Anolis sagrei: one gene and its partners. The protein of the gene in region 4 purifies or fractionates together with the protein of the main gene of each other region. This does not show direct contact. Links are inferred from orthologs where the notes say so. Each region holds a gene or a part of one and is shown on either strand. Other genes may lie near its edges.

Region 1 (6,940 bases), on a different chromosome or scaffold from region 4:
TGCTGTGTTTTTCTGAGAGATGGTGACACGTCGGCCTGATCGGTGTCTTGTGTCCGAATTTGGTGTCGATTCGCCCAGTGGTTTTGGAGTTATGTTAATGCCACAAACAAACATTAAATTTTTATTTATATATAGATTGATTGCCCAAAATCCAAACAAGCCAGGAAAAGTCAGATTAAAAAGACACCCCTAAACAGCGTAGGATTGTGGATGATGGTCGTCGTAGGTCGCGGAGAATGTGCCGAAATTGGACCAAAAAAAAGTGACAACGGGAACGTTGTCGTTGAAGGCGCACTTTTGAGCTCGGATTAAATAATTCCAATCATTGAGACGCGAAGGAGACTCTCTAGGGCAGGCATGGGCCAACTTTGGCCCTCCGGGTGTTTTGGACTCCAACTCCCACAATTCCTAACAGCCTACCGGCTGTTAGGAATTGTGGGAGTTGGAGTCCAAAACACCTGGAGGGCCAAAGTTGGCCCATGCCTGCCCTAGAGGATTAAAGAGGCAAATATTTTGGACTTTGGAGGCCGGTAGGCTGTTAGGAATTGTGGGAGTTGGAGTCCAAAACACCTGGAGGGCCAAAGTTGGCCCACGCCTGCCCGAGAGGGTTAAAGAGGCAAATATTTTGGACTTTGGAGGCAGTAAACAACAACAACAACAACAAATCTAGAAGATGGGAGCCAAAGGAAGCCTTTCTCTCTCTCCATCCGTCTCTCAATCTCTTCCAAAACATAAGCACCTCCCAACAAAGGATTTCTCCCCCCAGGCAGGAATCAGCCAAGTCTTGAAGCTGCAAGGCTTCGCCACGCTTGCCTAGTTTCCAACAGACCCCCTTCAACCTCTGAGGAGGCCTGCCATGGATGTGGGCGAAACGTCAGGAGAGAATGCTGCTGGAAAGTGGCCACATAAGCACCTCCCAACAAAGGATTCCCCCCAGGCAGGAACCAGCCAGGCTTTGAAGCTGCAAGGCTTTGCCACGCTTGCCTAGTTTCCAACAGACCCCCTTCAACCTCTGAGGATGCCTGCCATGGATGTGGGCGAAACGTCAGGAGAGAATGCTGCTGGGACGTAGCCGGACAGACCCGAAAACCCGCAGCAACCCAATAATAATAATAATCATCATCATCATCATCATAATGGGTTGCTGTGAATTTTCAGAACTGGAAACCTCCCAATCTTTGAGGATGCCTGCCATAGATGGGGGAGAAACGTCAGGAAAGAATGCTGCTGGAACATGGCCAGACAGACCTGAAAACTCACAGCAACCCAGTGATTCCGGTCATGAAAGCCTTCAACAAGACACTAATAATAATCATAATAATGATAATAATAATGGATTCACCCAGGCAGGAAGCAGCCAGGCTTTGAAGCTGCAAGGCCATTCAGTGCCAATCAAGGTGGCTAGTTGCAACATTCACATGTGCCTCAAGCAGACAAGAGTTTTTTCTCCCACCCACCTACTTCCCAACAAAGGATTTCCCCAGGCAGGAAGCAGCCAGGCTTTGATGCTGCAAGGCCATTCAGTGTTAATCAAGGTGGACAGTTGCAACCTTCACACATGCCTCAAGCAGACAAGAGTTCTTTCTCCCACCCTGGGCATCATTCATTCCACAGACATATAAACCCAATTTTCCTAGTTTCCAACAGACCTCACAACCTGCCATAGATGGGGGAGAAACGTCAGTAGAGAATGCTGCTGGGACGAGGCCAGACAGACCTGAAAACTCACAGCAACCCAATAATAATAATAATGATAATAATAATCACAATTATATCACAATCCAATAACAATAATAATGATAATAATAATAATAATCAAAATTATATCAAAGCAACCCAATAATAATAATAATGATAATGGATTGGTGTGAATTTTGAGACCTGGAAACCTCACAACCTCTGAGGGTGCCTGCCATCGATGTGGGCGAAACGTCAGGAGAGAGTGCTGCTGGAACATGGCCAAACTCACACCAACCCAATAATAATAATAATAATAATCACAATTATATCACAACCCAATACTAATAATAATGATAATAATAATCAAAGTTATATCAAAGCAACATAATAATAATAATAATAACAATAATAATAACGATAACAATAATAATGGGTTGCTGTGAATTTTGGGCGAAACGTCAGGAGAGAGTGCTGCTACATCGTGGCCAGACAGCACTCACAGCAACCCAATAATAAGAACAACAACAATTATATCAAAGCAACCTAATAATAATAATAATAATAATCACAATTGTATCACAATCCAATAATAATAATAATAATAATAATAATAATAATAATAATAATGGATTAATGTGAATTTTTAGACCTGCAACCTCACAACCTCTGAGAATGCCTGGCATGGATGTGGGCGAAACGTCAGGAGAGAATGCTGCTAGAATATGGCCACACAGCCCGGAAAACTCACAGCAAAACCAGTGATTCAGGCCATGAAAACACTATTTGGGGGGGGGGGGGGACACGGAAAGAAGGCCCCCGAAAGAGGAGAGAAACGCAAACAAAACAACACAAATGCGCACATTCGCATATCCAGACATATTTAGGAGGGCTTGGCGTCGAAGGACGGAAGGCAGGAAGGAAGGCAGGGGCGTCTGCCATGGCGAATGCGAGTCGAAAGCGAGACAGGGAGGGAGGCCAAGGCTCACCTTCTCCGGCGCGCGGTTCCTCAACTCCAAATTGATGCGCTTCTTCATCTCCATCCTGCTCCTCTTCTCCTTCTTCTTGGTCTCCCCCTTCTTTAGGCTAGGCCTCCGAAGTCCGGAGGGCAAAAATAATCCGGATTATAACAAGCAGGAGTTCTCTTTCGGGCTGGAAAGAATAACGAGGAGTTTAGGAAAGGAAAATGGCCCTCGAGGCGGCGGCTCCTTCTTCCTCCTCCTCCTCCTCCCGCTGTTTGTGCCGAACGCGCAGCTCCGCTCCCTTCAATGGCCGCTCGCGGACTGAGCCTCCATGACACCACGCATGGGGCCCCCTGCCAGAAGCCCCGCCCACCAGAGGGAGGGGGAGGGAGGACAGCCCGCCTAGGGAAGACCCCATTGGAGGAGGTAGCGCCCCGCCCCCGGCTCCGCGCCATTGGACACTCAGCCTGCTCGTCAAGCAAGCGCCTCCTCCATCTGCACTTCTTCCCTGAGCCTCTTTTGTGAGCAGAGAAGATGTTTATTTATTATTTATTTATTTGCTATACTTATATACCGCCGTTTCTCAGCCCAGTCGGCGACTCAACGCGGTTTACAACAACTTATAACAAACAACAGTATACAGTTTAAAAGCATAAAAACACAATCCACAGTAGTAAAGGTAGTCCCCTGACATTAAGTCCAGTCATGTCTGACTCTGGGGTGTGATGCTCATCTCCATTTCTAAGCCGAAGAGCCAGCGTTGTCCGTAGACACCTCCAAGGTCATGTGGCCAGCATGACTGCATGGAGCGCTGTTACCTTCCCGATGGAGCGGTACCTATTGATCTACTCACATTTGCATGTTTTCGAACTGCTAGGTTGGCAGAAGCTAGGGCTGACAACGGAAGCTCACACCGCTCCCCGGAATCGAACCTGCGACCTTTCGATCAACAAGCTCAGCAGCTCAGTGCTTTAACCCACTGCGCCACCGGGGGCTCCAATCCACAGTACATATATCTATAAACAATCCAATTCATCTCTTGACTAAAATCGCGATCCAGTGTCGTCGTCCAAATTGCCAGTCCTTCAATCATTACACTTATTGCACTGAGTTAACCGAACGCCTGCTCGAACATCCAGGTTTTTAGTCTTTTCCGGAATACCATCAATGAGGGGGCTGATCTTACCTCCATGGGGAGGGCGTTCCATAGCCGTGGGGCCACCACAGAAAAGGCCCTGTCTCTCGTCCCCGCCAGCCGCACCTGTGAAGCAGGCGGGATAGAGAGCAGCCCCCCCCCCCCCGAAGATCTTAGGGTCCTGGTGGGCTGATAGGCCGAGATACGTTCGGATAGGTAAGTTGGGCCAGAACCGTTTAGGGCTTTAAAGGCCAACGCCAGCACTTTGAATTGAGCCCGGTAGCAGATCAGCAGCCAGTGGAGCTGGTGCAGCAGAGGAGTTGTATGCTCCCTGCGCTCCGCTCCAGTTAGTATCATGGCTGCCGAGCGTTGGACTAATTGGAGCTTCCGGGCCATCTTCAAAGGCAACCCCACGTAGAGAGCGTTGCAGTAGTCTAAGCGTTGCAGTAGTCTAAAATAATGTTCCAGCTTATTTATTGCATGCCGGAACACCTCAGCAAACGACAGTCCAAAAGTGGCAGGCTCAAACCCAGAACCTCAACCAATGGCTGATACCATTTAATCCTGTACCCCAGTTTTAATCCTGGCCCAGTTTTCATAGTGTCTTGATGTATTGTTTATTGCATGTCGTTAATATTGCTTTGTTTTTAATTTGCTTTAGGTGTTGTATTGTTGTGTTGTGCTTTGAGGCCTTGGCCTTTGTAAGCCACATCGAGTCCTTCGGGAGATGCTAGTGGGGTACAAATAATAAAAGTTAATAATAATAATACCAAATGAGAGACTCCCTCCTGGGCACACAGAGGACTGGGCGACTTGGAAGGCATTGCACAGACTGCGCTCTGGCACCACGAGATGCATAGCCAACCTTCAGAAATGGGACTACAAAGTAGAATCCTCGACATGCGAGTGCGGAGAAGAGCAAACCACTGACCACCTGCTGCAATGCAACCTGAGCCCTGCCACATGCACCATGGAGGACCTTCTTGCAGCAACACCGGAAGCACTCCAAGTGGCCAGATACTGGTCAAAGGACATTTAACCAGCTACCAAACTCACAAGTTGTGTGAAATTTTCTGTTTGTTTGCTTTGTTCTGTTAGAAATGTAATATAATGGACTGGTTGCTCTGACACGACAAATAAAATCAAATCTGGTCTTCTTCCCTGAGCCTCTTTTGTGAGCAGAGAAGCTTATCAATATCCTTATCAAAGCCTGGCTGCTTGAAACAACCAGGACCAGCTAACACCTCCCAGCAACGGACCCCCCCTCAGGCAGGAAGCAGCCAGGCTTTGAAGCTGCAAGGCTATTCTTACTTAAGTTCCACCTTGTCTCCTGTGCTATGCTAATTTGTTGTTCAATCTAGGTTCTTGTGGGTTATTTCGGGCTATATGGCCATGTTCTAGAGGCATTCTCTCCTGACGTTTCGCCTGCATCTATGGCAAGCATCCTCAGAGGTAGTGAGGTCTGTTGGAATTAGGACCATGGGTTTATATATCTGTGGAATGGCTGGGGTGGTGTTGTTCAGTTGTTCAGTCGGTGGGTTGTTGTAGCTTTTTTCGGGCTGTATGGCCATGGTCTAGACCAGGGATCCTCAAACTAAGGCCTGGGGGCCAGATACAGCCCTTCAAGGTCATTTACCCGGTCCTTGCTCAGGGTCAGTCTAAATCTGAAACAACTTGAAAGCACACAACAACAGCAACAATCCCATCTCATCAGCCAAAAGCAGGCCCACACTTCCCATTGAAATAGTAATAAGTTTATATTTTTTAAATTGTTCTTCATTTAAATTATTGTATTGTTTTAAGTATTTTTTTCCCCTACAAACAAGATATGTGCAGTGTGCACAGCAATTCATTCATGGTTTTTTTTGGGGGGAGGGGGGTTGCAAATTATAATCTGGCCCTCCAACAGTTTGAAGGACTGTGACCTGGCCCTCTGTTTTAAAAGTTTGAGGGCCCCTGTTCTAGAAGCACTCTCTCCTGAAGTTTCCCCCACATCTATGGCAGGCATCCTCAGAGGTTGTGATGTCTGTTGGAAACTAGGAAAATTAGGTTTATATATCTGTGGAAAGTCCAGGATGGGATAAAGAACTCTTGTCTGTTGGAGCTAGGTGTGAATTCTTTCTCCCACCATGGACTTTCCACCCAAATCTAACCATCAAATCGCTTTAATGTTTCACATAGTAATCTAAAAATATAGGTCATTTTATACACAGTTTTTTTAAAAATTTGTACAAGAAACCATGTTTGGGTCTATTGAACTATCAGAAAGCAAAGGAGTCGCTCTCTTAGCTACTCACACGGACAAATTTGGAGTATTTCGGATCTTGGGATTCTGAGTAAAGGATGCTCAGTCGGTACCAAGTTTTCTGTCAGAGGAATCGTGTCCAGAAGTGCATTGACTTCACTGAAGTGTACCTTTATTTTTGTAATGTGTTTTAATTCGAGGAGGTGGCGCTGTAGGGCCACAAATCTTCACAGGGGCTTATGGTTTTACAGCCCTGATTCTAACCTTTGGACTTCAGCTCCCAAAATTCCTGATCATAGGCTGTGTTTTATGATAGTTACAGTCCAAAATAGTCAGAGTGTTATCAAGAGGACTAAAGTTACAGAAACAGGAAAGGACTGGATGAAGGGCTAAGCTAGCGTTTCTCAACCTGGGGGTCGGGACCCCTGAGGGGGTCACAAGGGGGTGTCAGAGGGGTTGCCAAAGACCATCAGAAAACACAATATTTTCTGTTGGTCATGGGAGTTCTGTGTGGGAAGTTTGGCCCAATTCTATCATTGGTGGGATTCCGAATGCTTTTTGATTGCATAATAATAATAATAATAATAATAATAATAACTTTATTTATACCCCACCACCATCTCCTCAAGGGGACTCGGGGTGGCTTACATGAGGCCAAGCCCAACAACACATCAGTAAAAACAAAACAGCAAGCAAAGAAAACAGTACAATTAATATAACTCACTTATGAAGGTGAACTAAGGGGTCTTAGGAACCCTTTTGGTAGAGAAGACCTGCCCTTCTCTTCATTTTTGGTGTTGGTGAACTACAACTCCCAGAATTCAAAAACAGCCCCCCCCCCCCAAACCCAGCAGTATTCAGTGTTGGCCATGTAGGTAGTGTGCCAAGTTTGGGCTGGGTTCAGAGTGCTCTTTGATTGTA
Region 2 (7,599 bases), about 68 Mb from region 4:
CTGCTAGGTTGGCAGAAGCTAGGGCTGACAGCGGAAGCTCACGCCGCTCCCTGGAATCGAACCTGCGACCTTTCGATCAACAAGCTCAGCAGCTCAGTGCTTTAACCCACTGTGCCACTGATAATCCTTAAAAGGGAGTAACCTCCTTTATCTTATTGCTCGCAAATGGAAAGCAGAAGCATGCTACACTGTACTGAAGTGTCTTTGCAGAGCCGATGGTGCTATTAATGTAAGTAAGTATCTCTTTGTACTAATTTGTTTACATAAGAATTTTCAAAATATAACTGGGTGCCACTTAGCATATCTATTATTTTGTCCTCTCTAAATTTAGTAAAAACCACAGAAGTGACTATTACATTTGATTGAATGAAATAACCCCCAAGAAGCCTGATGAAGAGAATTTATTCTTTAAACAAGGACACAAAACACCCGGGGAACCTTGTTGTGTACTCCTAAGTTTGCTGAACACAACACAAATTGTTTCCAAGCTTGATAGTCAATGTGAACTATACTCCCAAGTTTGTGGAACACAACGTGAACATTGTTGAAAACATTATGGACGTATTGAAAGTGTATTCTCAAGTTTACTGAACACAACGTTAACTGTTTTCAAGTTCGATATATTCATTGATATATATGTCCTATGAAATTATTTTGTGAACCTTATATATTTTGTTTGTTTCACTAATGAAGTTTGTCCTGTATGTATTATGAAAGTTACTTAAACTTGTATCTGTACTGAAGCTCATTTCAATAGGACAATTACATATTTACGGCATACATTTCTAGGCAAGAAGAAAAACCGTATGCAAATATCCATCTGAAATTGCTGTGATTGCAAGGTTTAAATAATTTCTTACTAAAACTTGCAATGCCTCTGCTGATATCTATATAATTATGTAGCTAGCTTCCAGTTGTTGTGACATCAGGATTTATTCTGTGCAAAATTTATGCTTGGCCCTTTTATGCAGAAAACAGATGTTTTAAAAAACACAGGAATTATTTATGCATAGATATTTGGCATAAAACAATCTGCAGAATTTTATGCAGATTAAATTCCCAAAAATACTATTTCTATGCAGAAAATAAAACTTTTGCACAAAAATATTTCCTGTGCAGAAAATACTGTTCCTTGCTCAGAAAACAATGTTTCTCTCTCACACTCACACACTCACACACACTACGTGTATGTTTTGCATAGATTAAGGCCTGAGTTGTGAAGATTCTCCTTAATCTTGGATTTTCTTTGTCAGGATTCCCTGACATTTAAGAAACATATTTTGCAGGTATTTAATCACATATTTTTGAATATTCCTTCCATCCCTACTGCCTAAAAGCAGCCTTCAAAACAGCATACATATCAACTTAGTTATGAGAGTGTAATGTCTGCACTGAACAAAACCTAAAATTCTATGATGCTATGGATTTATTCCATATTCGTTGCCCATTAGGATCATGACTTGGGCATCTAGTGTAGAGCAAAAGGAAATGCTTCTGCTTTGTAGCAGGAAAGCTGTAATGCCCTATGCTACCTCTCAGACTTCATTGTCTCTTTGCAAGATGTCAGAGTCAGAACTTGTGAACAAAGTCTCTCTGAAGTTTCCGTGGGGTCACCTGAGTTCATAATCTCTGTGAGGCATCTTGTCAGTTTCAAAGGTTCAGTGCCTGGGCTGCTTTTGGCTTTCGAGGACTTCATTGTGTCAGTGAATGGTAGCCCACGGCAGCAGTGGTCACAAAAGTCTCTTAATTAAGTGAAAACAGAAGCTGCTCTTTAAGTTGATGTCCTTACTTGATCCACCTCTGGAGCAGTGGAAGTGCCAACTGCATCAGAAACTGCATAACTTACAGCCAGCTGGAATCTGCTTGATCTTAGGGACTAAATTAACCTTTTAGGAATAAGACTTGGTCTTAGGGTCATTGGAACTAGGCAAGTGGAACCATCTGAACTGGTTCAAGGGATATTGGGATATAGTGAAAAATATTTCTCAGTGAAATGGATAGACAGTATTAAAATGATGTAAATCTCAGCATAACTGAAGTGTATTTTGTTCAAAGATTTCTAGCAGGTTATGGAAATTATATGGACCTTATCCATTTCCTTTCTATTCCATTTCTGACTTTTAATACTTAGCAGTTATTGTGATAAGCAGCCATGATGGGGCTTGTGACAGTGGTGGAACCGAGAGGAGGGCCTCCCTGGCAGATCTTAGAGCCCACATTGGTTCATGGGGGTGGGCGGGGAGGATGCAATCACGAAAATAGGCAGGACCCGAGCTGTTTAGGGCTTTACAGGTAATAACCTGCACTTTGAATTGGGACTGAATATTTATAGCCAGCCAATGGAGCTGCTTTAGTAGGAGCATCATGTGCTCCCCGTACAAATTTTTGGACCAATTGCAGTTTCCGAGCTTGGTTTAACTTTCGGTTTGCTAGGAAAACTAAATTACCGTGTCAGGAAAGGATGCATGACTAAAAAAGCATGTCACCCAGGGGCGGCTCAACCCATTACGCAAAGTAAGCATTTGCAGTATAGTTGATTTTGCCCAGGGGCGCTCTTGAGGCGCTCTTGGTGGAAAATAGACCTTGACATATGCGAGTTGTAGTTACTGGGATGTATAATTCACCTACAATCAAAGAGCATTCTGAACTCCACCAATGATGGAATTGAACCAAATATGGCACACAGAACTCCCATGACGAACAGAAAATATATATCAGTGATTTGTTGGGGGGTGGGGGGGCAAAAAACTGTTTGCTTACCGTTGAAAATTACCTAGGGCTGCCTCTGAATTGTCACCAATATGAAAAACTTGGAAAGCTCTGCACAAATGTTTGGGTCCAGGGCCCCTGTGTATGCCAACATCCTTGAGAGCTCAAAACCCATTATATGCAATGGTGTCATAAAATGGTGTCCCTTATATAAAACAGCAAACAAGCAAGACTGGGAGAGAGAGTCTGAGGGCCATTTCATAGGAGGAAAGGTATACCTATACATCAAAATCATGTATTCCAATCACGAATTTCGATTTACATTCTATTGCTACTATAGGTCAATTCTATATCTGTTTGGTGCATGCTTTATATATATATATATATATATATTGGCACAAAAGTATTAAGAATGTATGAAGTCATCATCATATGTTTGCGTTATGTGTGTGTGTGTGTGTATTGTTCATATGTATTTAACTTTAATAATAATAAACTTTATTTGTATCTTGCCTCATCTCAGTGATTGTATGATAGCGGGGTCCCCCTGTTATGAGCGTTATGCAGATGCCGGAAAGGTGGTTGTGAATAAGGGGAGGAATCACATGGTCGAGAGAGAGGGTTGGAGTGAGAGTGGGGAGAGCAGGACACTGAGGGCGGGAAGATACTTTGAGGTTGCATTTAAAGGAAGGATAGAAAGGAGGGAAGGGTTAGGGTTGGGGTTACAGTTATGGTTTAGGGTTAGAGTTACAGTTAGGGTTGGGGCTAGGGTTTAGAGTTGGGGCTATGGTTAAGATTTTACTATTAAAGAACTCGTACATTCATTCTATATTATCTGTGTCCGGCCTGTCTTAGATTACCTCAGTCGCTCACTCCACCCTCCTGTCTCAGTCACGTGTTCCATTCTGCGCTGCACAAACAGCGCTCCAGAAGGAGCGAAGCGGAAACAGCAAAACGCTCATAGCAGGGGGACCCAGCTATCATACAATCACCCTCATCTCCCTGATGGGGACTCAGAGCGGTTAACAACATACAGCAGCAAACATTCAATGCCGTACGGTGCAACCAACAAATAATAAACTACCATAAATTAAATAATAACATATTAAACATCGACATCAGACAATTTTGTAATAATAATAATTTTATTTCTTACCCACCTCTCTTCATGGCTCGAGGAGGGTTACAGACTTTGATGTACCCCGCCTCGAACTATCAGGAGAAGCAGGTAAGAATAATAAGAATAATAAGAATAATAACAATAGATTTTGCTATGATTTTTATATTATCCTACTGTTTTTATTGTATTGAAATTGTATTTTATGGTCTTGGTACCAACTGTAAACTGTCATGAGTCGCCTGTGGGCTGAGAGGGACAGTATATAAATATAGTAAATAAAATAAATAATAATAATTTCTTTTGCAAATTGCCATTGAGTGCATCTACACTGTAGAATTAATGCAGTTTAGTATCACTTTTAACTGCCATGGCTCAATGCTATGAAATCATGAGAATCTGTTGTTTGCTGCCCATGAAAGCTGAAAACTACAACACCCATGTTTCCCTAATATTGCAGCTTGGTAGGTTAAGAGTAATATCAAACTGCATTAATTCTACTGTATAAAACACCAGGCATGGGCAAACTTGGGCTGTTAGGAATGGTGGGAGTTGAAGTCCAAAACACCTGGAGGGCCGAAGTTTGCCCGTGCCTGAGATACACTCTATTAGAATGAGGAAAGGGTGTTCACAGACGGGCGCCATTCAGGCAGCTCCGCAAAGCAGAACAGGAATGTTAAGCTTAAAGACTCCAACTCCCGGCGTGCCTCGCGTGGGGAGGTGCCACCCGCCGGGCCGGTTCCTCCCCGCGCAAAGCACCATGGGACTCGCAGTTTCTGTTGCGGCGCTTTGCGGAAGGGAAAAGCGCGCGCGGGGCTTGGCCGGCCTCCTTCCTTCTTTCCTTGGCTGGCTGGCTGGCTGACTGAGGGGCGGGAAGATGGCGCTGGAGGCCCGCGGGATGGAGCAGGACGTGGAGGACGGGGAGATTTCCGGCTCGGACTGCGAGATGCCGGTCTCGGCCGCCGCCCGGAGCCCCCAGCAGGTCAGGCCCAGAGGGGAGTTCCCTTTCCCTTCCTCTTCCTTTCACTGCCCTGAGGCTTGGAGGCCTGGGCGGGGAGGAAGAGGAGGAGGAGGATGCTGCTGCTGCTGCTGCAGGAGCCCAGCATTAATGCCCGCCTTCCATGCCGGCTTCAGGGGGGTTTGTCCCTTGTAATGGATGCTCGTCGCGTTCGAAGGCATCAAGCGTGCCCTCGAGGGATGATTTCTCTGAGGGCCCTCCCACACAGCCCTATATCCCAGAATATCAAGGCAGAAAATCCCACAATATCTGCTTTGAGCTGGGTTATCTGAGGCCCCTTCCAGATGGGCTGGGACTACTGGGATGTCATCTGAGGCCCCTTCCAACCTGCTGAATCAAATCCCATATTATCTTCTTTGAACTGGAATATATGGCAGTGTGGACTAGATAACCCAGCTCAAAGTAGATATTGTGGGGTTTTGCGCCTTGATGTTCTGGGTTATATGTCTGTGAGGAAAGGCCTTGAGTCCACATTGCCATATATTCCAGTTCATAGCAGATAATGTGGGATTTTATCCAGCTGTGTGGAAGGGGCCTGAAGGAAGCTTCTCTTCCCACACAGCTCTTAAAGGCCTTCCCTTGAGGCTCCCAGCCTGGGGGCCCTTCCACACAGCCCTATATCCCAGAATATCAAGGCAGAAAATAATAATAATGATCTTTATTTATACCCCACCACCATCTCCACAATGGGGACTCAGGGCGGCTAACATGAGGCCGAGCCCAAACATAATAAAACAAAATAATATACAAGACAATAGAAAATAAACACAGGAAACACATAATACAACAAAATAAAATAAACAATACAAAACGACATATTAAAAATCCCACAATATCCTCTTTGAACTGGGTTATCTGAGTCCACACTCAGATAATGTGGAATTTCCTGCCTTGCTATTCTGGGATGTAGGGTTGTGTGGAAGGGCCCTTGGTCCACACTCAAATAATATGGGATTTTCTGCCTTGATATTTTGGGATGTAGGGCTGTGTGGAAGGGAACTGGGACTCTTCTGCATTGTGGAATTAATGCAGTTCGACACCACTTTTAACTGCTATGGCTCAAGGCTGTGGAATCATGGGAGTTTCAATGTAATGAGGCACCAGCCTTTCTGGCAGAAAAGTAAAACTAGTTCCCATAGTATTGAGATATGTCAGTTACAGCAGAGTCAAACTGCAACAATTCTATAGTGTAGAATGCAACCCAGAAGTGTTTGGGATTTTTCCACGTTTGGATTACCATTTATTTGCATGTTGTTGTTGTATGTATTCTGCCCTGTCTTTCTGAGGGCAGAGTCCAACAACAAAGAGGCAAACATTCACGGCCTGAACCAACAATAAATGCAATACTAAACCACCCAAAATAAACCAACATACACCAAAATAAACCAAAGTATACCAAATTAAACCCGCATGTAAAATCAAATTAGAACTTAAATTGTAATAAAATAAAAATTTAATACTATTTAAAAATAAATCAATACAAGTTTCATGGATTTGTTTAATATTTTGTCATTAGGGATTTCTAGGTCCTTCAGCACAACTCTGGTCATCTTCTGGCAGAAGGGAACTATGGAAGAAAGTCATGTTGGAGACTGTAGACATGCCTTTTCTAGGCATTTAGATGTCATCCAGAACAATTCCACTGGAAAGAATCCTGCTGGAAGGCCTAAGGGGCATCTGCACTGTAAAATCATTGCAGTTTGTCACCACAGCCATGACTCAATGGTATGAAATCATGAGAGTTTGGTGGGACATCAGTATTCTTTGGCAAAGAAGGCTAAAAACTTGTAAAACCTACAATTCCCACCGTTCCATAGCATTAAGACATGGCAATTAAAGTAGTGTCAAACTGCATTAATTTTACAGTGTAGATTCACCCCTAGAGATTTTTAAAAGGTGTTCTTTTTGTCAGATTACAAAATATAAACTTTTATAAATCTTTTTATTCATGTCCCCCCCCCTCCCTTTCATGGGTGCCCTGTGCCCCTAACCTAGGTTTGACTGGGGGTACATAATGAGTTATCTTGGAAATGCGACCAGGATATCTAAACATGAAATTTCTTTATGTTTTATATACATCTTAGTCACATAACCTGAGGGGTCATATTATATACATTTTTTAAAAAAATTGTGCATTGAGACAAAGTTTGTGTACATTGAACTGCCTGAAAGCAAGGGTGCCATTATCTCAGCCACCCATGTGGGCGATTTTGGAGTATTTAGGAATTCTGGATAAAGGGTATTTAACCTGTACAGGCCTGTGCATAGTGACAGCTATCTTGTTAAGTCCAGAGTACAGATAACAGTGTCTAACCGTACATAGGTTTTATGTGAATTTATACAGGCAGTCCCAGAGTTACAAACATCTGACTTACAAACAACTCATAATTAAGAACGGGGTTGAGACAACAGAAAGTGAGAAAAATATACTCCTAAGGATGGAAATTATTTCCTGAAAGAGTTATCATAGGAAGAGGTGTCCTCACTGAAGCTTTAGCACTGATCTTTATTTGCACAACAAGCCACATTTTCCAAAATCCAATTATCACAGGGACAGAAAGTAAGGTGAAATCTCCTGAACAGGGCCAAATCTGCTGTCACTATCCCTATATGTGGCTATATAGTAATTTATTAATTACATTTAAATGCTGTCTTTCCTCCAATGATCTAAAAGCAGCAAAGATAGTCCTCTTTCTCACTTTCGCAACAATCCATTAATATATGATTGACAAAAAGAGAAAGTATGTATGGGACT
Region 3 (7,401 bases), on a different chromosome or scaffold from region 4:
ATCACAGTTGGATCACTAGCAAAATCCCAATCAAGTAGGTTGCCATACACAAAATCTGTATTTTTGTTTACCTAGCTACTGTATACAAAACAGCATTCCGAGCACAAAGAAAAACTAAAACTAGGTATGGTGGCAGAAATTGATGCAACCTTCTACACTGTCACATAAAATCCAGGTTATTGGCTTTGAATTGGATTATATGGCAGTATACTCATATAATCCAGTTCAAAGCAGGTAATGTGGAGTATCTGCTCTGATATTCTGGACTATATGGCAATGTAGAAGAGGCTAGTGATGATACAAACCATGAGGCCCCATCTTCACTGCCATATAATCCCTTATCTGAATGGCTCCTTCTATATTGCCCTATATTCAAGGTCCTGATTCCAGATCACCCAATTTAATCTGGATTACTGCATGAGTCTCCACTGCCAGATAATTTGGGACAAGCAAATAATCTGGGACCAGATCCTGGGATATAGGGCAGTGTGGAAGGAGCCCTAGTGATTAAGATGGAGGATATAATAAAGTTTCACCCCAGTTAAACAGCCTTGGCGGAATCCTGGGAGTTGTAGTTTAGCAAGCCTCCTCTGCCAAGGAGTGTTAGGCATTCATTAAACTTAAAATCTCAGGACTTCATTGCATTGAGCCATGGCAGTTAAAGTGGGGTCAAGTTACATTAATTCTGCAGTGTAGATTCACCCTGTGAAACCCATGGTTCAAATTTCTACTCTGCCCTGAATTCTACAGCTCATTTTAGAGAACCATATATATATGGTTCTCTAAAATGAGCTGTAGAATTCAGGGCAGAGTAGAAATTTGAACCATGGGTACCATTTGAACCATATATATATGGTTCTCTAAAATGAGCTGTAGAATTCAGGGCAGAGTAGAAATTTGAACCATGGGTACCATTTGAACCATATATATATGGTTCTCTAAAATGAGCTGTAGAATTCAGGGCAGAGTAGAAATTTGAACCATGGGTTTCACAGGGTGAATCTACACTGCAGAATTAATGTAACTTGACCCCACTTTAACTGCCATGGCTCAATGCAATGAAGTCCTGAGATTTAAATTTAATGAATTTATATAAAGTTAGTTTGTTTCAGTTTCTGTCTTACAATAGAGAAGATACATGTACTTGCCTGAGGAGACTGCTAGCTTGAATTAAGACAGTATAATGTACTGCAGACTTCCTCAAATGGTAGCCCTCCACCCATTTGGGCCACCAACTTCCAGAATCCCTCACCACTGAACAAGCTGGATAGGACTTCTGAGGGGTGGAGGGCTGATATTTGAGGAGGCCTGCTGTACAGTGTGCCCTTAGTATGTGTTGGGTCTTTGGTTCCAGAACATTCTGTCTGTGGGTCCTTCCACACAGCCATATAACCCGGAATATCATGGTTGATAATCTACAGTATCTGCTTTGAACTGGGGTTATCTGACTTAACACTGCCGTATAACCCAGTTCAATGTGGATTTTATACAGCTGTGTGGAAGGAGCCCTGGAACAGCAAAGCAGATAATCCACAATCCAGTTTAAAGCAAACCGTATTATCTGAGTTGTTGTAGGTTTTTTCGGGCTGTATGGCGATAGTCTAGAGGCATTCTCTCTTGACGTTTCACCTGCATCTATGGCAAGCATCCTCAGAGGTAGTGAGTTCTGTTGGAACTAGGAAAAAGGGTTTATATATCTGTGGAATAACCAGGGTGAGACAAAGGACTCTTGACTGCTGGAGCTAGGTGTGAATGTTTCAACTGAGCACCTTGATTACCATACAATGGGCTGACTGTGCCTGGAGCAAACTTTTGTTGAGGGGTGATTAGATGTCCTTGTTTGTTTCCTCTCTGTTGTTTTGCTGTTGTAATTTTAGAGTTTTTTAATACTGGTAGTCAGATTTTGTTCATTTTCATGGTTTCCTCCTTTCTGTTGAAATTGTCCACATGCTTGTGTATTTCAATGGCTTCTCTGTGTAGTCTGACATGGTGGTTGTGAGAGTAGTCCAGCATTTCTGTGTTCTCAAATAATATGCTGTGTCCAGGTTGGTTCATCAGGTGCTCTGCTCAGGCTGACTTCTCTGGTTGAAGCAGTCTGCAGTGCCTTTCATGTTCCTTGATTCGTGTTTGGGCGCTGCGTTTGTGTATTATCTGAGTCCATACTGCCATATACTCCAACTCAATGTGGATTTTGTACAGCTGTGTGGAAGGAGCCCCAGAATATAAAGGCAGATAATCCACAATCCAGTTTAAAGCAAACCATATTATCTGAGTCCGTACTGCCATATACCCCAGCTCAATGTGGATTTTATACAGCTGTGTGGAAGGAGGCCTGTAAGAGCAGTGGAACTCTCTGCCTCGGAATGTGGTGAAAGATTGGATGGCCATCTGTCGGGGTAGTTTGATTGTGCTTTTCCTGCATGGCAGAAGGGGGTTGAACTAGAAGGCCAACTCTATTACTCCCTTTGGACACCAAAATCCGTGGATGCTCAGGCCCCATTACATACAATGGGGTCGCAAAATGGTGTGTCCCTGAGATTAAAGGGCAAACCTCCAGGTTTGATTTGGGAATGTTTTCAAAAGGTTGAATCCGTGAATATGGAGGACCAACTGTACTGACTCTGGACATATTATACAACAATACTACTCCCAAGGAAAGCTGAAGTTATTTCAAATTAGTACTGAGGCGGGAAGGGAAAGCCCTTCCCGGATGTAAAGGCCTTCCCTCCCCTCAGACGCCTCTAAAGCTGGATTGCCCAGCCAATTCTACCCGGCCGAGGGAGCACATGGCGGAGGAAGCGCGGCGCTCACCTTGAAAATGGCGTACCCGGCCGCCGTCTCGAAGAGAACCAGCATGGCGGCGCCGGCCCGAAGACGGAGCTCCCCAGGAACAACCAAGAGAGAGCCGGGCGCGCGAGCCCCCGACTGCCAGGTACGAAGCACGCGCGCAAAGAAACAGGCGCACGAGAGCGGAAATGGCGCCTCGCCGGAAATGCTTCTCGCGGGGCCTTCTGGGAAAGCTGCTGAGGGTGGAAGTGGGCGGGGACATAAAAAAAAAAACCCTAAGGGTTACATCTTCATAGTGTCCGACCTTGACGTCGGGTTCTCGAGTCGAGATTCAATACAAACTACTAACAGGACTTTTTTTGTGTATTTATTTAAAGAAAGACATGATCTTGTGAGGGGAAAAAAGCAAATAAATACAAATTTAGCGAAATTGCAGCCACGCTTTGGCGAAGGGCGCTTTTGAGAATAGAGATGAAGAGAGTGGGATTATTCCAAAATTGAGATCCCACGACCTGATCCCAGAATATCTGCTTTGAATTGGATTAAGTGAGTCTACACCGCCAGAAAATCTGGGATAAACAGATAATCTGGGATCAGATCCTGGAATATTGCACACTAGCCGTCCCCTGCCATGCGTAGCTGTGGCCCAGTCTGGTGATCTGGAAAATAAAGTAATAAGAAAGTTACTTTCTCACTACCTCTGAGGACGCCATAGATGCAGGCAAAACGTCAGGAGAGAATGCCTCTAGACCATGGCCATATAGCCCGAAAAAACCTACAACAACCCAGTGATTCCGGCCGCGAAAGCCTTCGACAATACAGGGTTAGTCAAAATGAATAGGCCAATAAGAAAATTAATTTTAGACGAATGTATGTTTATTGTAACCAAACTACAGCTACGTATCGACAGATAAATTATCAAAGTTTTGTCTCACCTTCAGAGATGTTCGATATGGGCGCCCCGTGTGACACGGCAGACGTCCAAGCGATAGTCCAGTTCATTCCACATCCGTTGCAGCACATCTGACGTAATGGCATCGAATGCAGCACATATGCGCTGTTTTAAGTCGTCCAAGGTCAGCGGTAATGGAGGTCGGAACACAGTGTCTTTCACATACCCCCAGAAAGAAAAGTCGCATGGTGTGAGGTCGGGGGACCTGGGGGGCCACAGGAGGAATGGAAGATCAGTCACTCCAGCACGGCCAATCCAACGTCTGGGAAGGTGTTCGTTGAGGTACTCGCATACACTGTTGTGCCAATGCGGAGGGGCACCGTCCTGTTGGAATACGAAATCGGGCACTTTCTCTTCTAACTGTGGCATCAACCATTCAGACAACATGTCAGCGTACACTATGCCTGTTACGGTTTTCTCCGCGAAAAAGAATGGGCCAAACACGTGACGGTTGGTTATTGCACAGAAAACGTTTACCTTCGGCGAATCCCTTACATGTTCCAATACGGCATGAGGATTTTCAGATCCCCAAAAGCGGAGATTATGCCTATTGACCTTCCCGCACAGGTGAAACGTTGCCTCGTCACTGAAGACCAGTCTGTTGGCAAAGCCTTCCTCCTCTAGTCTTCGCTGCATTGATTCGCAAAAATCGTGTCGTTTCGAATAGTCACCTTTTTTCAAAGCCTGCACCATTTGCAATTTATACGGCTTGAACTGCAAACGTTTGCGTAACACGCGCCACACAGTTTTTTGCGGAACGTTCAATTCCATGGCAACACGATTTGTCGACTTCTGGGGACTTCGTTGAAAGGATGCACGAATGGATTCCACTGTGTCTTCGGAGACACGCGGTCGTCCTGTGGTTTTACCCTTGCATAAGCAGCCCGTCTCCTCAAATTGCTTTACCCACCTCGCAATGGAATGTCGATGAGGTGGTTCCTTGCCATACTTGGCTCGAAATTCTCGCTGGACCGTAATTACTGACATTGTTTTAGCAAATGTCATCACACAAAACGCCTTCTCTTTGCCTGATTCCGCCATTTTGAAAACAGCGACTCCTAGCGACGCCTAGCGGCATTAACGTACATGTGTGTTGCTCAAAAAAACTTTGATAGTTTATCTGTCGCTACGTAGCTGTGGTTTGGTTACAGTAAACATACATTCGGCTACAATTAATTTTCTTATTGGCCTATTCATTTTGACTAACCCTGTATAATGAGTAATGATTATAAAGTATATAAAGTATATAAATAAAGTAATGAGAAAGTGTTGGTTTCTAATATATGTCATTTCTTTCTGCTTGTGGGTAAACAGTATTTTATTACGTTTTCTTGCCCTGGTGAAGGGAGTTGGACTGGATAGCCTTAAGTATTTTCTATTGGCCATTTTCTATTGGTTCCGTGTGGGAAGTTTGCCCTGATTCTGTCATTCGTGATGTTCAGAATTCTCTTTGATTGTAGGTGAACTGTGAATCCCTGTTGTCTCCTGCTGCCTTGTTATTAGCAATGCTTCTTAAGGCCCATTCAACCTCACTCCTCAGGATATCTGGTTCTAATTCACTCACCACACCATCAAAGCTGTCATCGATATTATTATCCTTCCTGTACAGATGTTCTGTATAGTCTCGCCACCTTCTCTTGATCTCTTCAGCTTCTGTTAAATCCTTGCCATCTTTGTTTTTGATCATGCCCATTTTTACCTGAAATTTACCTCCGATGTTTCTAATTTTCTGGAAGAGGTTTCTTGGACGTCCTACTCTATTGTCTTCTTCCACTTCCATGCATTGCTTGTTTCAAAATAGTTCCTTATCTCTTCTGGATAACCTCTGGAATTGTCTATGGCTGGATGGCTCTTTGTCAGGAGGACTTTGATTAAGTTTTCTTGCCCTGATGAAGGGAGTTGGATTGGATGGTCTTAAGTATTTTCCGTTGGTCATGAGGGTTTTGTGTGAGAAGTTTGCCCCGATTCAGTTGCTCGTGGGGTTCAGAATGCTCTTTGATTGTAGGTGAACTGTGAATCCCAGTGACTACAACTCCCAAATGTCAAGGTCTATTTTCCCCAAACTCCATCTGTGTTCATATTTGGGCGTACTGAGTGCTTGTGCCAAGTTTGGTCCAGATCCATCATTGTTTGAGTCCACAGTGCTGTCTGGATGTAGGTGAACTACAACTCCCAAACTGTTGGGGTTCAGCCTGAGTTTGAACTTGAACCTGATTCTCTGTTTGTTCCTCCTGATGCTAATGAAAGTATATTTACTGATGCTAGTGGAAATGTACCTTTTGATGCCAATGCTCCTGAAATTAGTGAGGAAGAAACTGCTGTAGGTTTGGAAAATGCCAATGTTCCTGAAATTAGTGAGGAAGGAACTTCTGTAGATTTGGAAAATGAAAGTACCAGTGTTCATGAGAACGTTTCAGAGGGAGACCTTGAAATTTCCCTCCCTTCTTCACCTGCTAACTGTAATGACAACAGAAGGGGCCAAATTTGGGAAGACAGAAGTAAATCACTCAGTTTGCGTCGATCCTCCCTAATTCAAGAATTAAAAACATTGGCTTCAAAAAAGAAGGGCGGTTCACGGAACGAATTCTTGAGTTTTAATTGCACGCCGGGCTGATTGTCTCAGTTCAGGCTTCGTTTCAGAATTGATTAAGACCTTGGCAGTTCTCCCGGTTCCCTGGCCATAGTTTGGGAAGATTCTAGGATATCAAGTACGGTTAGTGGATTGCTAACAGGTTCCAGTATATCCCAGTGAGGCTTTTGGTTTTGCTTTGTCCATTTAAATTAATGTTTGCTGATTTTGCTGTGGCTTTTGACTTGCATTTTTCCTTTATTTTGTAACCATTTTTCTTCAATAAAAAAGGATTGTTTTTCACAGCCAAGTGTGGTGGATAGTAATCTTAGGGCCTCGTTCCCTGCTCTGGATTGCAACACAAACTCAAGGTCAATGCCCAACAAACCCTTTCAATATTTTCTGTTGGTCATGGGAGTTCTGTGTCCCGAGTTTGGCTCAATTCCATCATTGGTGGAATTCAGAATGCTCTTTGGTTGTAGGTGAACTATAAATCCCAGCAACTACAACTCCCAAATGACAAAATCATAATTTTTTGAGTGTGATGGTCACTCCTTGTGTAGTGAGACGTTTTGTTGCCAAATTTGGTGTGATTTTGTTCATTGGTTCTTTTGTTTTTAAGGTACTCATTATGCACAGAGCATTTATATATAGATAAATTATTATTATGAGGGTTACTCCATTTCTTCAGTGTTCCTCATGTCCATCGTAGTAAATCTGGTGGTCATCTGTTATGGAGTGGCCTATTTCAATCCATTTCAGTTCACTGACCCCCAGAATGTCTATCTTTAGTCTTGACATCTCACCAATAACAATATCCAGTTTGCCATGGCTCATAGATCTTACATTCCAGATTCCTAGAGTGTGCTGATCTGTAGAACATCGGATTTGTTGTTCACCTCCAGCACCGTCGGCCCCTAGACTTCCTTTCAGCTTTGAGCTACCTGCATCATCACAACTGGGGCTAGTTGAATTTATCCTCTGTTCCTCACCAGTAGAATTTTGACTATCTTCCAACCTGGGAGTCCCATCTTCCGATGGTATACCGACATATCTCTGGTTGTACTGATCCATTTCGTTTTCATCACAAGAA
Region 4 (7,319 bases):
TAGTCTCTGAAGCAACAGCAATTATGATTGAGGGTTCATCACATTAATTACTGCAGCATAATTTCTTGTTAACCAAATGCCTCTAATGCCCTAAAATGTGTAAATCTCCACTTGCGACTTTTGCCTGAAGTGTCTCTGACAATGGTAGGAAAATGGTAAACACTATTAATAAGAATACTAATTATAGCACTAATAATAATAATAATAATAATAATAATTTGTATTTGTTACTTGCTTCTCCTAACAGCTTGAGGTGGGCACAGTCAAAACACATCCACATAAAATGCATGCAACAAAACAAGCGTTGGCCTATAAAGCCTTAAACGGTTCCGGCCCAAGATACCTATCCGACCGCATCTCGACCTACGAGCCCACCAGGACTTTGAGATCTTCCAGGGAGGCCCTGCTCTCGATCCCGCCTGCTTCACAAGCATGGCTGGCGGGGACGAGAGATAGGGCCTTCTCGGTGGTGGCTCCTTGGCTGTGGAACACCCTTCCCGTGGACATCAGACTGGCTCCTTCCCTGATGATATTCCGCAGGAAATTAAAGACTTGGTTGTTCAAGAAGGCGTTCGAACAAGAAGTGCAATGATTGGTAATGACTATAGGAATGGAACAACGGAAAATGATACTGGTTTATGATTTGGACGATGAGACGACGTGGAATGGTTTCTGTAGTAATGATGATGTTTTTGTATAATGCTGAAGTGTGAATTGTTTTGATACTGTGTTTTGAATTTTGTTCCTCTTATGTTGTACACCGCTGTGAGTCGCCCCTGGGCTGAGAACAGCAGTATATAAGCAAAGCAAATAAATAAATAATAAATAAAACAGCTATATCAAAACACACCATTATAAAATATTCACAGTAAAACACATGGTACAAAGATCAAAATACAGCAGTAACAGAATGAAAATGCAAAACTCATTGTTTAAAGTTGACTGGGTAGGCCTGTCAAAAGAGATGTGTGAGAGTTATTAATTTATTTATTCATTTACAGCATATAATGGCCTGATAGCACAACAACAGGGAGGAAACAAACAAGGACATCTCATCACCTCTCAACAAAAGTTGGCTCCAGGCACTGCCAGGCCATCATATGCTAATCAAGGTGATCAGTTGAAACATTCACACCTAGCTCCAGCAGACAAGAGTCCTGGTCATTCAACAGGTATATAAACCCTTTTTCCTAACTCCAACAGACCTCACTACCTCTGAGGATGCTTGCCATAGATGCAGGCGAAACGTCAGGAGAGAATGCCTCTAGACCAGTGGTTCTCAACCTTCCTAATGCCGCGACCCCTTAATACAGTTCCTCATGTGTTGGTGACCCCCAACCATAACATTATTTCTGTTAGTACTTCGTAACTGTAATTTTGCTACTGTTACGAATTGTAATGTAAATATTTGATATGCAGGATGTATTTTCATTCACTGGACCAAATTTGGCACAAATACCCCATATGACCAAATTTGAATACTGGTGGGGTTGGAGGGGATTCATTTTGTCATTTGGGAGTTGTAGTTGCTAACCTATAATCAAAAAGCATTCTGAACTCCACCAACAAAGGAATCGAGCCAAATTTGACACACAGAACTCCCAAGACCAAGAGAAAGTACTGGAAGGATTTGTTGGGCGTTGATCTTGAGTTTTGGAGTTGTAGTTCACCTACATCCAGAGAGCACGGTGGACTCAAGCAATGATGGATCTGGACCGAACTTGGCACGAATACACAATATGCCCAAATGCAAACACTGGTGGAGTTTGTGGAAAATAGACCTTGACATTTGGGAGTTGTAGTTGCTGGGATTTATAGTTAACCTACAATCAAATAGCACTCTGAACCCAGCCCAAAATGGATCTGCACCAAACTTGGCACACTACTGACATGGCCAACATTAACTACTGGTGGGATTGGGGGGGGGGGGCTGTTTTTGAATTCTGGGAGTTTTCATTCACCAACACCAAAAAGGATGAGGACAGGCGGAGAGATCTTCAGCCTTCTCTACCAAAAGGGTTCCTAAGACCATGAGAAATATGTGTTTTCTCATGGTCTTTGGCGACCCCTCTGAAACCCCCTCACGACCCACCCAGGGGTCCCGACCCCCAGGTTGAGAAACACTGCACTAGAGCATGGATCCATTCGAGGGGGAACTATATAATTTCATTTGTATAAGTAATTATAATAATACTAAAGATCCCAGCCTATATAATGTATGTTGGCCATATAGCCCGAAAACATGGCCATATAGCCCGAAAAAACCTACAACAACCCAGTGATTCCGGCCATGAAAGCCTTTGACAATACATTGAGTTTTCTGCCTTGATATTCTGGATTATATGGCTGTGTGGAATGGCCTCTCAGGGCCCTTCCAGACAGGCCCAATCTCCCGGGATCTGATCCCAGGATTTCTGCTTTAAATTCGACTATTTGAGTCCGCACTACCAAATAATCTGGGATAAACAGAAAACCTGGGATCAGATCCTGGGATATAGGGCCTGTCTGGAAGTGCCCTAAGAGGCCCAGAGCCTGGCATCTCCGGTGGATGACAGTTGAGTGATGAAGATTTTGCCCTGAAAGCGGGTGGTGGGTAGGTAGGTGGGTGGGTGGGCGGGACGGTGAGGAGCAGCTGCCTGGTGGCCTGGCGTGGCCTTGCTGCCCCGCCCCCAACTCCCGGGCCTCCCGCCGCCATTCCGCCCCACAGCCCACACCCACGCCCAGGCCTCTTTCCGCCGCGGCCTTGCCAGCCCCGTCACCTGCGCTTGCGGCCGGCCCCACGGCCAGGCCCACGACGCCAAGGCCCTCCTCCTCCTCCGCCGCCGCCGCCCCGGCGCGCAAAGGCGCCCCTCTCTCCTCGCCAGGCGAAGCCGGCTGCGCACGCTCCCAGCGCGCACGCGCCACCGGGCCGGCCATTTGGCGCAGCTTCCGGTGCGCGCGTGACGTTCCTCAGCTCCGCTCCGCTCGGCTTGTTTACTTATCTCTATGGTTATGTTGCGGCCTGGAGAGGAAGAGCTAGCCGGGGTGTCCCGCCCTCTCTCACCCCGGAAGTGCTGCTCTTGTGGAGGGAGGGAAGGGTGGAGGAGCAGGCCGACAGCGCCACTCGCCTCAAAGAGGCCCTTGGAAGCCGCTCCCTTCCGTGTCTCTCCCTCTCGGCCCTTCTAATGGGGAGGCCAGGCCGGCCCTGAAGCCCCTGGAGAGCGAGGACGCGCCATTGCAAGCCGCCTTCCCTGCCCACGCCCCGCCCCACGGTGACAGGGGGAGGGCCTCGCAGGGCAAGTGGCCTGGCTGATTCTCTCACACTAGAAGCAACTTGCAGTATGAATGAATGAGTTTGTTTGTTTGTTTGTCGTGTCAGGAGTTTATTTATTTATCGTGTCATCAAGAACCATTGTATTACAATTCTAACAGAGCAAAACAAACACAGAGATTTTAAAAAAAGGAAAAAAAAACACAGATTTTGCAAATTTGGTATTTGGTTAAATGTCCTTTGACTAGTATCTGGCCACTTGGAGTGCTTCTGGTGTAAGAAGGTCCTCCATTGTGCATGTGGCAGGGCTCAGGTTGCATTGTAGCAGGTGGTCTGTGGTTTGCTCTTCTCCGCACTCGCATGTCGAGGATTCCACTTTGTAGCCCCATTTCTGAAGGTTGGCTCTGCATCTCATGGTGCCAGAGCGCTGTCTGTTCAGCGCCTTCCAAGTCGCCCAGTCTTCTGAGTGCCCAGGGGGGAGTCTTTCATCTCGTATCACCCACGGATTGAGGTGCTGGGTTTGGGCCTGCCTCTTTTGGACTCTCGCTTGCTGGGGTGTTCCAGCGAGTGTCTCTGTAGATCTAAGAAAACTATGTCTTGATTTAAGTTGTTGATGTGCTGGCTGATACCCAAACAGGGGATGAGCTGGAGATGTCTCTGCCTTGGTCCTTTCACTATTGGCTGCTACTTCCCGGCGGATGTCAGGTGGTGCAATACCGGCTAAGCAGTGTAATTTCTCCAGTGGTGTGGGGCGCAGACACCCTGTGATAATGCAGCATGTCTCATTAAAAGCCACATCTACTGTTTTAGTGTGGTGAGATGTGTTCCACACTGGGCATGCATACTCAGCAGCAGAGTAGCATAGTGCAAGGACAGATGTCTTCACTGTGTCTGGTTGTGATCCCCAGGTTGTGCCAGTCAGCTTTCGAATGTTTCTACTTTTTGTTTGATGTTCACGCAGTGCTTCTTGTAGGTCAGAGCACGGTCCAGAGTGACTCCCAGGTATTTGGGTGTGTTGCAATGCTCCAGTGGGATTCCTTCCCAGGTAATCCTCAGAGCTTGGGATGCTTGTCTGTTCTTAAGGTGAAAGGCGCATGTGTCAGGAGTGACTGCAAGTCGCTTCTGGTGCAAGAGAATTGGCCCTCTGCAAGGACGTTGCCCAGGAGACACCCGGATGATTTGATGTTTTTATCATCCTTGTGGAGTAAATGAATTAAAACTTTAGTTCTTCTCTGCCTATCTCCCCAGAGGGTGGCTTACAACACATAAAAAGGCAAACGTTCAATGGCAAATAATAATAATAATAACAATCTTCTATCTATCTATCTGATAATCTATATAAATAAAAATGTAATGTTCGTTTGTGCTATTCACAGAACTCAGAAACCACTGGGGGAATTGACACCAAATTTGGACACGAGACACCTAACAGTCCAATTTATGTTCTCCACTCAAAAAATAATTAACTGGAAAGAACTTACCCCCCACAAGGCTAAATGCCTATATAGAGCCGGTGTTTTATTTATTTTTTATTTCAGACACTTCTACCCCGCCCTTCTCACCCCGGGGGGGACTCAGAGCGGCTTACAAAGGCACAATTCGATGCCGGCATCAATACAAAACAATACAACAATAAAAACAGTATAGCAGCAATTAAAGTTAAAAACAATTAAACGGTCGGTTCTCAGTTCTACAACACGTCAATAAACCAGTTTAGCATTCAGCGTTCGCTGTCTCAGAGTCCATAGTTTCAATTCCACATTGTCAGTCCTGTTAATTCTAGTAGTCCATTGTCCTTAGCTGCCGGGTTGCCCGAAGGCCTGGTCCCATAACCACGTTTTTAATTTCCTTCTAAAGGAGAGGAGGGATGTTGCTGGTCTGATCTCACCCGGGAGCGAATTCCACAGGTGAGGGGCCACGACCGAGAAGGCCTTGCTCCTTGTCCCCACCAGCCTCACTTGTGATAGAGGTGGGGTCGAGAGCAGGGCCTCCCCAGATGATCTCAGATTCTGAGGTGGGACGTAGAGGGAAATGCGTTCGGACAGGTACGCCAGACCGGAGCCGTATAGGGTTTTGTAGGTCAAAACCAGCACTCTGAATTGTGCTCGGAACTGGATCGGCAGCCAGTGGAGCTGACATAGCAGAGGGGTGGTATGCTCTCTGTATGACGCTCTGGTGAGTAATCTGGTTGCCGCCCGCTGGACTAACTGAAGTTTCCGAACAGTCTTCAAAGGCAACCCCACATAGAGTGCGTTGCAGTAATCTATTCGGGATGTAACAAGAACGTGGACCACTATGGCCAGATCAGACTTCTCCACGTACGGGTGCAGCTGGGGCACAAGTTTTAATTGTGCAGAGGCTCTCCCGGCCACCGCTGAGACCTGGGGTTCCAGGCTCAGCAATGAGTCCAGGATCACTCCCAAGCTGCGAACCTGCATCTTCAGGGGGAGTGTTACCCCATCTAACACAGACTGTAACCCTATGCCTTGTTCGGCCTTGTGACTGACCAGTTGTACCTCTGTCTTGTCTGGATTCAGTTTCAATTTATTAGCTCTCATCCAGTCCGACACAGCGGCCAAGCACCGGTTCAAGGTCTGGACAGCCTCCTTGGTGACAGGTGAGAAGGAGTGACAGATTTGGACATTTGGACCGTAACAGCGGCCAAGCACTGGTTCAGGACCTGAACAGCCTCCTTAGTAGCAGGTAAAAAGGAGTGACAGAGTTGGACATCATCCACGTACAGATGACACTGTGTATACAATGGCTGGTGTATACAAACAAGCAAACCTTTTCAGGACCAGCTTTGACAATAATCTCAATTATCATCAAAAGCATGTCAGCTACCAATGAACTGTTGCTTTATGAACTGAGCCAAGATAAATGTGATGTTTTGTGTCCAAGAAACATCACATTTATCTTGGCTCAGTTAGATCAGTGGTTCTCAACCTGTGGGTCCCCAGATGTTTTGGCCTTCAACTCCCAGACATCCTAACAGCTGGTAATTTTTTTTTCTTGCTGCAAAATTTCTTTTGTGTCCAAGAAACACACAGAGATAATCAACAGAAATGACCAAAAGTTCCAGGAATGATCTTAGTGGCGGAAAGACCACATGTGCAGTATGGAAGTTCTGGCTTTGTAAAACTAAGCTTCAAAGTCAGCAGTGCCCACAATACTGGAGAAAACAATGTAGAGCAGGTATGGGCAAACTTTGGCCCTCCAGGCATTTTGGACTTCTACAAAAACAGTGACAGATTTGGACATTTGGACCGTAACAGCGGCCAAGCACCGGTTCAGGACCTGAACAGCCTCCTTAGTAGCAGGTAGAAAGGAGTGACAGGAATTATGGCTGTTAGGAATTATGGGAGTTGAAGTTCAAAACACCTGGAGGGCCTAAGTTTGCCCATGCCTGATAGAGAGGTTATAACAGTAGAGCTTAGTAATATCACAATTACCTCTCTATATAAGCCCCCAAATGAAGAGTTTTGTTTCTCCTCTCCTGAGAACTTTGATAGGCATCAAAGGGCGGTAGTAATTGGTGACTTTAATAGCTGTAGGGGGCTATGCACAGGAGTATAAAAATGGAGAGGCTGTTTTTTCCTGGGCTGAATTGCATAAACTATTGCTTATTCATGATCATAAGTTCCCATCATCCTACAACAGTATGAGATGGTACTGAGGATATAACCCAAACCTGCTCGTGAGCGACAGTATTGTGCATCAATCAGTGGGATCACCAACATTAAACACACAGCATTGGCCGATCATATGCCAGTTGTTTCCAGCTGTAAGAGCTCAGGAAGTTCGATTCAACTTCAGAAAGGCAGATTGGTCTATGTTAGATGACAAGATTATGACGGTTGCCCCAATCCCTGAGGAATACAAGCGCTATCTCTTCCTGAACACCAGAGGCTAGATCTTTCATTTTATAGAGCATGTCACAAAAAGGCTGCTGGTGGTGAAATCACTAGACAGGCAGAAATCACCAGTGTTCAGAATCTTTTGAGACAGATCTTGACAAAAAATGGGTTTGGTTGAGAGCCAATCGGACAAATAGGGAACCCCTCCCCCC

Evidence for each region.
Region 1: the proteins of KPNA1 (region 4) and ANP32E purify together in Homo sapiens (affinity purification with mass spectrometry; 4 studies listed by BioGRID and IntAct, with this or other methods). This does not show direct contact. The link is inferred for Anolis sagrei from reciprocal best matches to the Homo sapiens genes KPNA1 and ANP32E.
Region 2: the proteins of KPNA1 (region 4) and PHAX purify together in Homo sapiens (co-immunoprecipitation; 4 studies listed by BioGRID and IntAct, with this or other methods). This does not show direct contact. The link is inferred for Anolis sagrei from reciprocal best matches to the Homo sapiens genes KPNA1 and PHAX.
Region 3: the proteins of KPNA1 (region 4) and NOP58 purify together in Homo sapiens (affinity purification with mass spectrometry; 3 studies listed by BioGRID and IntAct, with this or other methods). This does not show direct contact. The link is inferred for Anolis sagrei from reciprocal best matches to the Homo sapiens genes KPNA1 and NOP58.

What each region holds. Positions count from the first base shown.
Region 1 is NC_090032.1:5,806,595-5,813,534, forward strand, and holds the start of ANP32E (acidic leucine-rich nuclear phosphoprotein 32 family member E), read right to left. Parts: upstream 3,003-6,940; 5' UTR 2,721-3,002; coding exon 2,667-2,720; intron 1-2,666. UniProt on the Homo sapiens protein: Histone chaperone that specifically mediates the genome-wide removal of histone H2A.Z/H2AZ1 from the nucleosome: removes H2A.Z/H2AZ1 from its normal sites of deposition, especially from enhancer and insulator regions.
Region 2 is NC_090022.1:237,947,787-237,955,385, reverse strand, and holds the start of PHAX (phosphorylated adapter RNA export protein), read left to right. Parts: upstream 1-4,591; 5' UTR 4,592-4,703; coding exon 4,704-4,808; intron 4,809-7,599. UniProt on the Homo sapiens protein: A phosphoprotein adapter involved in the XPO1-mediated U snRNA export from the nucleus.
Region 3 is NC_090021.1:165,264,599-165,271,999, reverse strand, and holds the start of NOP58 (nucleolar protein 58), read right to left. Parts: upstream 3,004-7,401; 5' UTR 2,857-3,003; coding exon 2,812-2,856; intron 1-2,811. UniProt on the Homo sapiens protein: Required for the biogenesis of box C/D snoRNAs such as U3, U8 and U14 snoRNAs. Part of the small subunit (SSU) processome, first precursor of the small eukaryotic ribosomal subunit.
Region 4 is NC_090022.1:170,434,130-170,441,448, forward strand, and holds the start of KPNA1 (importin subunit alpha-5), read right to left. Parts: upstream 3,010-7,319; 5' UTR 2,917-3,009; coding exon 2,760-2,916; intron 1-2,759. UniProt on the Homo sapiens protein: Functions in nuclear protein import as an adapter protein for nuclear receptor KPNB1. Binds specifically and directly to substrates containing either a simple or bipartite NLS motif.